2 linked regions of the Drosophila melanogaster genome follow. The protein of the gene in region 1 purifies or fractionates together with the protein of each later gene. This does not show direct contact. Each region holds a gene or a part of one and is shown on either strand. Other genes may lie near its edges.

What was found. Proteins that work in one complex are often made in the same cells at the same time.
Region 2: the proteins of klhl10 (region 1) and ScsbetaG purify together in Drosophila melanogaster (affinity purification with western blotting, with the first as the bait; one study listed by BioGRID). This does not show direct contact.

Annotation. Positions count from the first base shown.
Region 1 is NW_007931083.1:50,349-57,638, reverse strand, and holds the start of klhl10 (kelch like family member 10), read right to left. Parts: upstream 4,198-7,290; 5' UTR 4,097-4,197; intron 938-4,096; exon of another isoform or gene 812-937; intron 749-811; 5' UTR 695-748; coding exon 372-694; intron 320-371; coding exon 35-319; intron 1-34.
Region 2 is NT_037436.4:5,559,637-5,566,202, reverse strand, and holds ScsbetaG (Succinyl-coenzyme A synthetase beta subunit, GDP-forming), read left to right. Parts: upstream 1-2,511; 5' UTR 2,512-2,659; coding exon 2,660-2,710; intron 2,711-2,807; coding exon 2,808-2,937; intron 2,938-3,018; coding exon 3,019-3,118; intron 3,119-3,331; coding exon 3,332-4,301; 3' UTR 4,302-4,502; downstream 4,503-6,566. Other genes in the region: bc10, read right to left, coding at 339-578; Sras (severas), read right to left, coding at 1,375-1,877, 1,937-2,342; sinu (sinuous), read left to right, coding at 4,708-5,451.

The DNA.
Region 1 (7,290 bases):
GGTTTCCTTACGACAATTAGCGAATTAAACCCACCGTGCGAATCCCATAATACTGACACAGTTTTCGGGGGTGAGTATGCGACCGAGGTAGTCTTTACATTTCTTAACTAAACCTACCATGCCAACGTAGTCAGCGCAGATAAGTAACTCATGAACATTGCTCTCGGAGATGTTTGTTTGACGCAGGTAAGCGTACTGTATTACACAGTTCATTATACATGAACTCACGCCGGGGATATGAATAAAATTATTGTTTTTTTTTGCATCTGACCCATCTACACATCCGGGAGTGTCAGCGTTAAACCCTGTGAATTGAGCTCTGGTGGGAATACGTGTTATCTTCACAATTCAGGGTGAAGTTATTAACTCACCGAAAGTATGAGCTACATGAACACATTATTGCACGATGTACGTTGAACACATCCTCCCCCACAGAAATCTGGGCGTCGCAGAGAAGATTTTGCTCGCGGAGCTCATTTAGCGTGTTCAGGGCCTCGTCACTCACAATGGGAGCCAAAGATTTTGTGTGCGCATTCAAAATGGTTTTACGGCCAATACCGAGCGTCTTGTCCTCGGGGCTATTGCCGTCTGCGTTCAGCTGCAACGAATCCATTGAGACGGGGGGCAGAGCAAGAGCAAAAGGCAGATCTTCATTGATATCAAGGAGGTTGCTTTCGTTTTGATTACGACTCATTAGAAGAACGAGGTGAAGTCCAACCCCTTTACTGTGTTCGATGCTGAACCGTGTCTATGGGGTGGAAATTAGGCACATACGTAAATAAAATAGGTGGGATCTGTAAATGGTTGTTACCTCGCGTTCTAATAATTTTTGTTTTTACTGTGAAAAGAAGTACCTTCGTATTTAACTGCAGGAACAGGAATATTAGTCAATGTAGGAATAGCAACAATAAATTTATGGGGGAAAACAAAATGACTGCTAAGCCTAAACAAAAATGATTATTATCATAAATAGGGTTAAATACGACTTTCAGTTTTATAAATGTAACATGGAGTAAGGCTGAAGGCTGGCAACAACCCGGTTGGCAGCGCTGTTGAGCAGCAACATGATTGTCGGAAATCGAAGTTATCGACAATCAGTCATCGAAGGAACGATCGCAAGGCAGCAGTGGTGTGGAAGTCAGCGTGGCAGTCAGTCGAGTTCTCAGCAGCAGTCGTTCGGTCACAAACTAAGAATACTTTATATAATTACCGCATTTAGAATTAAACTAATAATTAAATTAATAATAAACAATAATAATAAACAATCTTACATGGGGGCTCGTCCAGTCCTAAATCGGTTATATGAAGGTGCAGTTGTTTAAAGAAAAAAGACATTGTTGTGTGCGTGGGTATAGTCTTTAAAAGTTGTAAAGTTGTGGCTATATCTATTGCATTTAAAGTTGGAAAAATCAGTTGTACAGATTTTGTTTGAACACAAGTCGGTAAAAGTCGGGAAAGCTGCTAGAGAGAACTGATAAAGTTGAAATTGTCGTGTGCGTGGATTTAGTCTTTAAAGTTGTAAAGTTATGGCTACGTCTACTGCATTGAAAGTTGAAAAAATCGATTGAACTCATACAGACTCAAGTCGTTTTGCTGTTGTGGAATTTAAAACAATTAAATTGCAAAGGTGGTGAAATTCGTTTCTAACGAAAATCAAAATTTGTCTTTTAACCGGTGGCGCCGTCTGCAAAATCGACTACCGTCGCGCCGTTAGAACATTGTCGTTGTTTGCTGGTGTTAGTGCCTTGTCGCGGAATGTTCACACGTACACCACCTACAAATAAAAAACTTAACACCGACCAAATACAAGCAATTCTAGAGAACGAAAGCGAGGACGAAAGCAGAAAAGAAAAAATGAACGAAGAAGATCAAAAGTTGGCGCCTGTAGGAGAAGCAGAGGCAAAGAAGCAGAATAAAGACGCTAGTGCTAAAGTCGAAGAGAAATTTGAACAAATGATGAATACTCTAACCCAGAGCATGTTGGCAAAATCTAAACAAGAGGGGCAAGTAATTATCGCTGCAGAAAAATTTGAAAAAGTTGTAAGTGACTGTGATGGCAAATCAATTCCTATTAAAAAATGGTTTGAAATTTTTGAGAAAAATGCCGAGGCATATGAACTTTCGGAGAAACAAAAATATGTTCAAGCCAGAAGTAAGATGATTGGATCAGCAGAACTTTTCTTAGAATCTGAATGTGTCAGTGGATACACTGAACTCAAAGAGTTACTAATTGAAGAATTTTCAGGCAGCTATAATAGCGCCGTTATTCACAAAAAGTTGCAAGACAGGAAGAAGAAGAGGGAGGAAACTCTACACGACTATTTGTTACAAATGAAGAAAATAGCAGCCTTAGGTGAAGTTGAAACAGTTGCTTTGATAACTCATATCGTAAACGGCCTCGACATTAAAAAGGAGTATAAGGGTGCTATGCTCCGTTGTAAAACTCTTAAGGAATTAAAGCAAGAATTCGAAATCTACGAGAGTCTGAATATTGTTGACAAGCCGAATATTCAACCAAAACCAAAGCAAATTACACAAGGTGTAAAAGCAGATCACTGCTTCAACTGTGGTTCGAGGGAACACAAACGAAAGGATTGTACACTTCCTACCAAATGTTTCAGCTGTAATCAAGAGGGCCATATCTCAAGCAAGTGTCCGGAAAAAGTAAACAGCATGCGCATTCACGTTGATAGTGCACGAACAAAGCCAGTAATCATAAATGGGATTATCATCAACTGTCTGGTGGACACAGGATCAGATGTGACCATAATTAAAGAAGCTATATTCAAGAAGATGAAAGATGTTGATTTAAACCGCACTGCAACAGTATTGCGAGGTTTGGGAAATGCCTCAACACAGCCGATTGGATGCTTCAGAGCATTAATCAAGACCGACCAGGTGGAAGCAAGCCACAACGTTTTAGTCGTCCACGATTCTAAATTCAGTTGCGATGGAATAGTGGGACACGATTTTATCAGCAAGTTTCGTCTTATCTGTAGTGCAGAAGGCTATACTTTTCTTGACCTGGAAGCAGATAAAAAACAAGCGGTTGAGTATTCCCAAATGTTTAATATTTGTGAAGAATCTTCTTTTACAGTTGCACCACAATACCGAGAAGACGTTGAACGCATGATAGAGAGAACATACGAAACACCACCCAAGCAGATAAAGCAATGTCCAGTCGAACTCAAAATTATTCCTGATGGCGTGATTAAACCCTTTCGCCATGGACACACCCGACTATCTGAAGAAGAAGCTATAGCTGTAAAGAAGCAGGTAGAGGAATGGGTCGAGCAGTCAATCGTCCGTAAATCTACATCAAATGTTGCCAGTCGCATAGTCGTTGTCAAGAAAAAGGATGGTACCCTACGCGTTTGCGTGGACTATAGAAAATTGAACACCATGGTTCTGATGGATTGTTTTCCGGTACCCATAATGGAGGAGGTGCTTGAAAAACTGCAGAGTGCCAAATGGTTTACAACCATGGACTTACAGAACGGATTTTTTCATGTGGCCGTAGAAGAAGCCAGCAAGCCGTACACAGCATTTGTTACCCGAGAAGGCTTATTCGAGTTTAACAAAGCGCCCTTTGGTTTTAAGAATTCCCCAGCAGCGTTTATACGGTTCGTTCAATTTATTTTTCAAGAACTAATCAATTCCAATATAATGCAGCTATATATGGATGACATAATTGTATATGCCGCTACCCCAGAAGAATGCATGGAAAAGACGGAAATGGTACTTAAGAGAGCTGCAGAATTTGGTCTAAAAATAAAATGGAAGAAGTGCAACTTTATGCAGAGGCGAATTCATTTCCTGGGACATATTATCGAAGGTGGACAAATATGCCCTGGAAAAGAGAAAACATCAGCAGTGAATTCCTTTGGAACACCTCAGAATGTAAAAGCCGTTCAAGGATTTCTGGGTCTCACAGGATTCTTCAGAAAATTCATACCTGGATACGCCCAAATTGCGAGACCACTGACGGACCTATTAAAAAAAGATGCCATTTTCAACATTGGACCAGTAGAGCAGCAGTCGGTGAATAAGCTGAAAGAGATTCTGGTAAACGAACCAGTATTGAGGATCTACTCACGAGAAGCAGAAACCGAACTTCATACAGATGCCTCTAAGGACGGGTTAGGAGCCGTTTTATTGCAGAAGTTCGAAGGCAGTTTTCACCCAGTCTGCTTTTGGAGCAGAAAAACTACAAAAGCCGAATCAAATCGTCATAGTTACTACCTTGAAGTAAAAGCCGCATACTTAGCTCTGAAAAAGTTCAGACACTATTTATTGGGAGTCCCTTTCAAGCTCGTCACGGACTGTGTCGCATTTAAACAGACAACAAAAAAAGCAGATGTCCCAAGAGAAGTTGGCCCATGGATTCTCTATATGCAGGATTTTAATTTTCAACCCGAACATCGTGCAGGAGAAAGAATGAGACACGTTGATTTTTTAAGCCGCCATCCCCAAGCATGCATGATGATAACATCCGAGTTGACAGCACGTATTAAAAAGTCGCAGCAGAACGATGATTCAATTAGAGCAATCCCGGAAATTCTAAAAGATCGTCTATTCCAACCCTACAAGCTAAAAGGTGGCCTGTTGTATAGTATGGTCAATGGCAATGAACTACTGGTTGTCCCTGCACTAATGGAGAGGGAGGTGATTCAAAGCGCACATGAAGTTGGCCATTTGTCGTTGCAAAAGACGATGCATAGCATACAGCAGCAATTTTTTATTCCTCATTTGGAATACAAGGTAAAAAAGCTAATTTCTAACTGTATAAAATGTATCATCCACAGCAAAAAGTTGGGAAAGCAGGAGGGATATCTAAATTGCATAGATAAAGGAGACGCACCGTTGCACACACTACACATCGATCATTTGGGGCCAATGGATTCATCGGCCAAACAGTATAAATACATTCTGGCAACAGTCGATGCGTTTTCAAAGTTTGTCTGGTTATTCCCAACCAAATCAACCGGACAGGAAGAAGTGGTCAAGAGGCTGACCGACTGGTCAAACATTTTTGGTTTCCCTAAGCGAATTGTTAGCGACAAAGGAACGGCCTTTACGAGTGGTGCGTTCGAACAATTTATGAGCAGCCATAACGTGGAACACGTCTGCACAACTACTGGAGTGGCCAGAGGCAACGGCCAGATAGAACGAGTAAATCGTTTAATTTTGGCAATAATATCAAAGCTGTCTTCAGACGAACCGTCGAAGTGGTACAAATATGTGCCTGAGGTACAAAAGGCGATCAACTGTCACGTGCATTCATCACTGAAGCTGTCACCATTTGAGGTCATGTTTGGCACCAAGATGTACACCCGAGTTGAGGATCGGTTACTGGAACTGCTCCAAGAAGAAGTGGTCTGTCAATTCAACGAGGACCGCTATGAGATGAGACAGCTGGTAAAACGCAACATCGAGCAGGCGCAGAAGGACTACAAGCGCAATTACGACAAAAAGCGCCGAGCTGAATACAAATACAAAGCAGGTGATCTGGTTGCAATTAAAAGGACCCAATTTGTAGCTGGCCGCAAGATGGCAAGCGGGTATTTAGGTCCATACGAAGTCACAGGGGTCAAAGACAATGGCAGATATGACGTTAAAAAAGCAGCAAACGTCGAAGGACCCAATGTCACATCCACCAGCTGTGACAACATGAAGTTGTGGAAGTACATAGCCGAAAATGCAGACCTATTGTCATCCGGGTCGGATGATGATGATCAGGAGGGCCGAATGTAACATGGAGTAAGGCTGAAGGCTGGCAACAACCCGGTTGGCAGCGCTGTTGAGCAGCAACATGATTGTCGGAAATCGAAGTTATCGACAATCAGTCATCGAAGGAACGATCGCAAGGCAGCAGTGGTGTGGAAGTCAGCGTGGCAGTCAGTCGAGTTCTCAGCAGCAGTCGTTCGGTCACAAACTAAGAATACTTTATATAATTACCGCATTTAGAATTAAACTAATAATTAAATTAATAATAAACAATAATAATAAACAATCTTACATAAATCTTTGTAATGCTGTTATTTTCATTTTTATACTTTTACCAAAATTAGTTACATTTGTATATATGTATATACATATATATTTTAAGCGCGGATTTATAAATTTGTTAAGAAGAAAATTGTGGTGTCAAATAAACATTAAACATAAAAGGTTAATTACATTTACTTATTTGGTTAGTATCCATGTAATCATAAGCCTAATGTGGTAACAAAAATTTACCATAACACAAAGACTCCGAGAAGCATACCTCAACGGTAGGAGCGGACTATTTTTATGCACTAGTAAGATACAAACGAATTTTTGGCTAAACTTAGCATTATGCAACACCACTCGGTTCCACAAAAAAAAAACAAATATAAAAATATTGATATGAAAAAGGAATGTTAATTTTTTTTCCCGCCGACTCACGATATTAGTATCGGGCATTTTTGGTATTTATTTAAATAAACTTACAATATACTAAGAATCGATTTTGACAATAATTATATCCAATAATTATATCCGTTTCTCGTAGAGTAAAAGGGTGTACTAGCATGTAAGTATGTAACAGACAGTATGTATAAAGTATATATATTCTTGATCAGGATTAATAGCCGAGTTGATATAGCCATGTCCGTCTGTCCCTATGAACGTCGAGAACTTGGGAATTATAAAAGTGTGGGAGTCGAGCCAAAATGGCAACCTTATATGTGCTATCGCACTCATTTAGTAACGAACCATTATAGCCAAATTCAAATCCTGGCAAAATTGAATATTGCCCTATAAAATACCACAAAATTCCCGTGTAGGATTGTAGCAAGCTACGGTCACACTTGATTTGCATACTTCCGTTCTCTTTTCGGAAAGTCGTGATCGAGGGCAGTTTAATTTGATGCAAAGTCCCTGATTATAAATCCACGAGAATCGTGTAGACCGGATAAGAGTTTTTCAAGGCAAATACTGCCAAGTGATAGTTTAAATCGTGATCTAACTTTAACTAGCCTGCTGCCGGTCCCACATTTGGAGGTAGAAGTCTTAGTGGCCGCGTCGCCAAAGCGACTTGCATTGTTTTTCGCCCTCAACTTTTGACCACGTGTGAAATTTACTGTGGCTTCATCGATCGCAGAAAGATTCACAACTGCTTGGATCAGGAGCACCCACCGCGTGCAGCGGAAAGCTGGGCTTGTCCTTTTCTGCTGCCAACCAAGTGCAGATCGCAGGCCACAATCCCCCCCCCCCACGAGTTGGCGTTCTTTTTCTACCCTTCATCGCCGCAAGCAAGGAGCAGAT
Region 2 (6,566 bases), on another chromosome or scaffold:
ATTACAATTCATAATCAAGAGAATTATGAAGGTAACATATAGAGGGCTGGAAATAATGCAATGGGTATTACTAGACACACAATCTTTGTTCCTGGTCGGACTCACTCATCACTTGTATCACTGATCACTTGATTTTACCGACTTAGTCAAGCTATCCCTAATCCCTTATATCCGCCTGCTCCTCTGACTTTCTCCGATCTTCGAGGATGTAAAGCTGTAACAACGCGAACGTAATTCCGTAAAAAGGTAGTTATTATTAGCACTTTATCTTCGTTGACTATGACTACGGGGGCTTTCTTTGTGTGGGAGTGAAAGATAAGCGGCGCACTGCTGACCCTCTAGCCATTCTCACATTGATGGCCCTCGCAGTTGCCCCAAAATATGCAGTTCCCGACGCCACTGTAGCATATCAGGGATACGGCTGTGAGGAATACGAGGCTGCAGATGGTGCAGGGCTTTCGCTCCAGGAAGAATCCGACCAGGTAGAGGACTATGAACATCACGTGCGTTTCCATCAGGGCCGGATTCGAGGGTTTCGGTATCAGTAGTACGGGCAGCAGGCATTGTAGGCAATACATTCTGTGTGCGGTTGGGTGGGTGGTTGTGTTGTTGTTGCTATTTCTGCTTAAGATTTGGGTTCTATTTGCGTGTGCGTTGACGTGGTCTTCCGCGCGGCCTGCAAGTGTCCCAGGATGACCCCGGGGGGTTGAGGTTAGTCTTAATTGTTCTATAATTACTATCATTCGTAGTCCTGGGCAAAGACCACAAACGTCACCAGAACGCGGATCTGTTTTCCCAGTTCTAGCACGGGTCGCCGCTCTGCGGGATTACCTCCGATTGGGCCTCCTGGCGCTGACCTCTCGATTTTCGGGTCGTTTAGATGCTCGCTTGTTGTGCGTCGTTTTAAATCATCACATATTTACCAAAATTTACTTGTCTGGGCCTATCGGGCCCTATCGATAAGCCTATGTGGGTCTGAGTGGCAGTGTGACCAGCTGCCCAATACCGATATGTTGGAACTAGTGATTGCGCGGAACCAATAATACCGCCTAAATTTGAATTCATATTTCTTTCTTAATAATAATAATAAATAATATTTATAAATGTTAAGAAATTGTTTAATAAACAAATGCAAACAAAAGTAGTTGTAATAAAAGTACTCTCGAACAACAAAACAGTACAACTGACTTACTATTAGGTATACATTTATCTGTACTTTCTTTTTTCTTTTTCATCGGAAGTCTTTTTTTTGTGCGCGGAATTGGCTCGAATGGGATATGCAATTTACATATAAACATAATATATGCACGAATATTTATGTACACATGAATGAACCGACGTATGGCAGCGGTTGATACATACAAATTAACTTAATTATGCATTCCAGTAAAGGGTGTTATCATAGATCGACGGATCGGTAGCCAGTGGTACCAGGAACATCCATCCAACAAATCCAGCTAAGTAGAGAATAATGGCCACTACTCGTCGCCAGAGATCCTGCTGCCACAGATCCTGCAGATCCGGCAGACCCATATGATTGCAAAACGCGTGCACCAAGATGGGAGCCATCACATGACCTGTACGGGCAAATAGAAAGGCCGAATAGAAGCCAAATAGCGTGGTGTAGATGAACTGGAACAGTCCAATCAATAGGGCAGTGCTCAACTCCACGCCTAAGCTCAGGCGTTCGGCTATGTGATGCAAGTGGGCTACTCCGAAGAAAAGCGGCGTTATGAAAACGGCGACCAGGGGCGAAAAGCTCTGCAGGATCAGGGGCATCATGCAGGCTCGGAACACGAACTCCTCGCTCAGCGGTGCTATCACATGGTTGCGCACCCAGATGATGCTGCCAAATGATCCCCTCCAGTAGTCCAGATCTGCAATTCAAATCAAGCAGTGAGAAGGGGCTGATAGGCAGAGGGGCTTTAACTATTACCGAAGTAGGAGCGCACGGACTCGTTCTGCATGTTGACAAAGATGGGTCCCAGGAAGAGCAGCACCGTCAGGCTGTATGGTATAACAACAGCCTGCCACAATCCCTCCAAGCGCAAACCGAGCAGCTTGGGAAATGGTACCCGGCTGAGCAGCTCCGGCGATGAGAAGAAGTAAACGAAGAACGGGGCTGCCAGCATCACCATGGACACACTGGCGAATCTTCTCTTGACCGTGGTTGGATGATCCCGGTTGTGTTTGGTGCTCCAGATGTAGAGGCTACCCACGTACAGAACAGCCAGAACGAAGCAACAGCTCACCGAAGTGGCCACCGGGATCTGGGGCAATGATTCGTGGACTACATTTTCTTGCATGGTGACTTCGGCTTCCGTCTCACTCAGGTTTTTCATTCAATTTGTGTTATTCGTCATTCTTCGCTGACTATTAGCCGAAGAAAAAAAGTACACAACGACAGCTGATTTTCAGCTGACTGCAACAGTAAGACCATTGCTTCGCGAGAACTAGTTCAAGATGGCAGTGGCATTTGGTATATTTTTATCACCATGGAAAGTAGTCGTGCTTCTTGGTCACATTGTGCAGTGATAAGCATCGTGGAACGGCGGCGATTTTCGGTTGTGTTTTTAAACTAAATTTACCGACAAAGTTACGAAAATAAATTAATACCAAGTTAGCCAAGGTATTCAGTTACCACCGCAGATCAGCCAAGATGTCGTTCCTACTGAAAGCAGTTACCACAGCCCGTCACATCGTTCATAAGGTTTCCTCGCACTCACATTCCTCTATAATATATCAACTCTTCGAAAAGAGAAGTTGAAGTGACCTTTGTCTTGGCTTTGTTTATCTTTCGATGATAGGTTCCCGTGCGCAACCTGAATCTGCTGGAGTTCCAGAGCAAGGATCTCCTCCAGAAGTATGGAGTGGCCATACAGCAATTCAAGGTCTTGAATAACTCCAAGGCAGATGCCGAGGTCGTCAAGACTTTTGGTAAGTGGAGGACGGAACCATGCCGGTGTTTATGTAATCCCTGGGCTAATTGGTGTTAAATGCTGTGCTTCTGTGTTTCAGAGTGCCCGGAATACGTGGTGAAGGCGCAGATTCTCGCCGGTGGGCGTGGCAAGGGAACTTTCGACAACGGATTCAAAGGCGGCGTCCATATCACCACCAAGTATTATAGATTAGGTCTATTCCGGCTATTCACATTCACATTTTATCTAAAAAATTAATATTATTTATGTTCTACAATATCATTTGTATATAAGATTAATCTTATCATTCTGCCCATATTGAAAATGATAAAAGTTTGTGAAAGCCAGAGTGTACCTTAAAAACACAAGTGATAAGACCAGCTTATACTAATAATTATTTAACATTTTGCCAGCAAGAGCGAGGTGCTTTCGCTTACCCAGCAGATGATTGGAAACCGACTGATAACGAAACAAACGCCCAAATCGGGAATTTTGGTCAACAAGGTCATGGTGGCACGCAGTATCAACATCACCCGCGAGACCTATCTCTGCATCTTGCTGGACCGCGAGCACAATGGACCCGTGCTGATTGCCTCACCTGCCGGTGGCATGGATATCGAGGCGGTGGCCGAGGAAACCCCTGAGAAAATTAAGACTGTTCCGCTAGACATTGGCAAGCCCATACCGGAGTCGACGCTCTTGGAGGTGGCCAAGTTCTTGGAGTTCAAGGGAGACTCTGTAAAGCGTTGTGCTGAGGAAATTCAAAAACTCTATACTCTCTTCAAAGCTGTGGATGCCGTACAGATCGAGATCAACCCGCTGGCGGAGACGGATAAGGGAGAAGTTATCTCCGTTGATGCTAAGCTCAACTTTGACGACAATGCCCAGTTCCGTCAGAAGGATATTTTCTCCATGGACGTCACCGAGGAGGAATCCGATCCCCGAGAAGTGGAGGCGGCCAAGTACAATCTGAACTACGTCGCCATGGATGGCAACATTGGCTGCTTGGTTAATGGTGCCGGCCTGGCCATGGCCACCATGGACATCATCAAGCTGAATGGAGGCGAGCCCGCCAACTTTTTGGACGTCGGCGGTGGCGTCAGGGAGGATCAGGTGGCCAAAGCCTTCGAGATCCTCACTGCTGACCCGAAAGTCAAGGGAATCCTGGTCAATGTCTTTGGCGGCATTGTCAATTGTGCCACCATTGCCAATGGCATTGTGGCTGCATCCAAAAAGCTGCAACTGAATGTTCCACTGGTTGTGCGACTGGAGGGCACCAATGTAAATCAGGCTCGCGAGATCCTGAAGAATTCGGGCCTGCCCATTCAGACAGCCAGTGACTTGGATGATGCCGCCCACAAGGCTGTGGCAGCCCTTAATTAGGGGAACGATTGAGGAGAGCATGTCTTCCAGAATGAAACGACGCTCATTAGCATTTACAACGGTTGGGCCTTTTAAGTATAAGTTTTTATCGACAATATAACCAAAATATGTTATATTCTATATAAAAAGCTTTTTATTTGATTTAAGAAGTACCTTAGCCATCTATCAAAAATTAATTAAATTTAAAATCATTTATTTCTTAATTTAAAAAATGTATAATCTAAATTGTTTAATTTACTGTTTTGAAATTTATTGGTACCGTAGCATTTGGTATTTATTTTGTGGCCCCATGGTATTCTGCGGTATTACCAGTGCGGCCACACTGCAGTCCACACCCAAACAGCAAACCAAACAAACATTTCCCCAGGAAACCAGCGAAATTCCAATAGAATTTCCCACTCAAAGGATGCAAAAACCATCCCACTTCGCACGCGAGGATTCCCAGGAGCACCTGCCCACCAGCCACACGCAAAACAGTCACACAGTGAACATGAAGAGACGCACACTATCCGGAAGTTGTGGCGTTGGCGTCTTCGTGTTCGCCTTTGCCTTCATCGTGATTGCGTTTGCAACGCCCAGTTGGTTGGTCAGTGATTACCGCATCACGGGCGCCAAGCTGGATCGCCTGGGATTGTGGGTGCACTGCTTCCGGTCGCTGCCGGACGTGAACGACGATAGCCAGCGGAGATTCTTCGTGGGCTGCCGTTGGGTGTATGACCCATTTACCACGGGTTACGATGAGATCCGTGGATTCCTGCTGCCCGCCTTCATGATAGCCACTCAGTTCTTCTACACTTTGGCCTTCATCGGGATGTTGGTATCTGCCATCGGAGTACTGGTCTTCATCCTGTGTGCTGGTCCGGATCAAAAGCACTTCATTACGCTCATTAAATCGTTGGGATATGTGCTTCTCGGTGCTGGAGTAAGTGCAGCCATTGCAGTGATTGTATTCGCTGGATTTGGCAACCGGAATGGCTGGATGCCGGAGCATGCGAACAATTGGTTTGGCTGGTCCTTTATCCTGGCGTGTGTGGGTACTGTGTTAACCCTGGTGGCGTCTACTTTGTTCCTCAGTGAAGCCCACGTGCAGCACAAGAAGAGAATTCAGTTCAAGGAATCTCAGACGCGATTTGAGCTGGTGCGCGGATAGTCGATGGTAAGTACTTGACTATATCCAAGTCAGGGTCGGTCGCTTAACCTTCTTGCATTGTCTATTTTAGCCGTGGCAGCTGGCACACTTGCACCAAGGAAAACACAAGCCAACCAAGAGGAAAACAAAACAAAAACATTCCGTCCCCTCAAAGAATTCTCACCCTAAACATTACAGTCGAACTTCTCTAAGGCGAAATATTCTAACTAACAGTTTCTGGTAGTGCACGTTTTTAAAGTTGGTTTATGTTCGTTTTATATTTTATTCAATGGTTTCCCTGTGCATAGGTTAAAGTATTCATGTCGGTAACATTCGTTTTATATTACCTTAAATCGTTTAAATAACTCCCCAACTGGCGGAGATTTCGAAAAATTTTAACGAACCAAAGTTATTTTGGATAAAAATAATTTTCGCCATATATTCATCGCTTCTCTCTAACATACCTAAAGAAATTAATTTTAGTTCAGAGAAGTTCGACTGTACTCGTAGTTTTTAATTTAAAAAGTTTATGCAATTGACGGCCGCACCGATTCACAAGCTTTCAGTTTTTGGTACTTATAATCATCCATCCAATCGACCAGATCAGTTCCAAGAGAAGACTGAATGTTTTTCCGAATGAAAACCAGAACCAAGCACAGCTAACATCAAACGAAGACGCTCAACTAGATGACTCATGTTCATGTAGAGTATTCTACAGTATTTGCATATCAATTTTCGCTCAATTAACGCCCAGACACAAAGAGCATACCCCTCCGCAATTGTACGTTTATTTTTTTCTTTAGCAAAAGTCGCAGGCTAGTCGGAACTAGCATCGAAATATTACACTCGTGCCTTAATTAGATAGAACTATTATGGTGTAGTTCGTAGTGCCTGAAAACAAATTATTGTTATAAACATACCTGAACGACTGACCTGCGACTAACCATAGAGATCATTGAATTGCATAAACTTCAGCTAAGCTAGTGCCTTAATTAAGTGACCCAGAGAAAGGTAAGCGAAACTCCGCCCATTAGTTTTAAGAACAAAACATTCCCTTTTGAACTCGAATATTCCGCACAAGTTACCTTCTTTTAAAGGTAACAATTAGGTCTGTATTAATCATCCGTCCTTTGCAC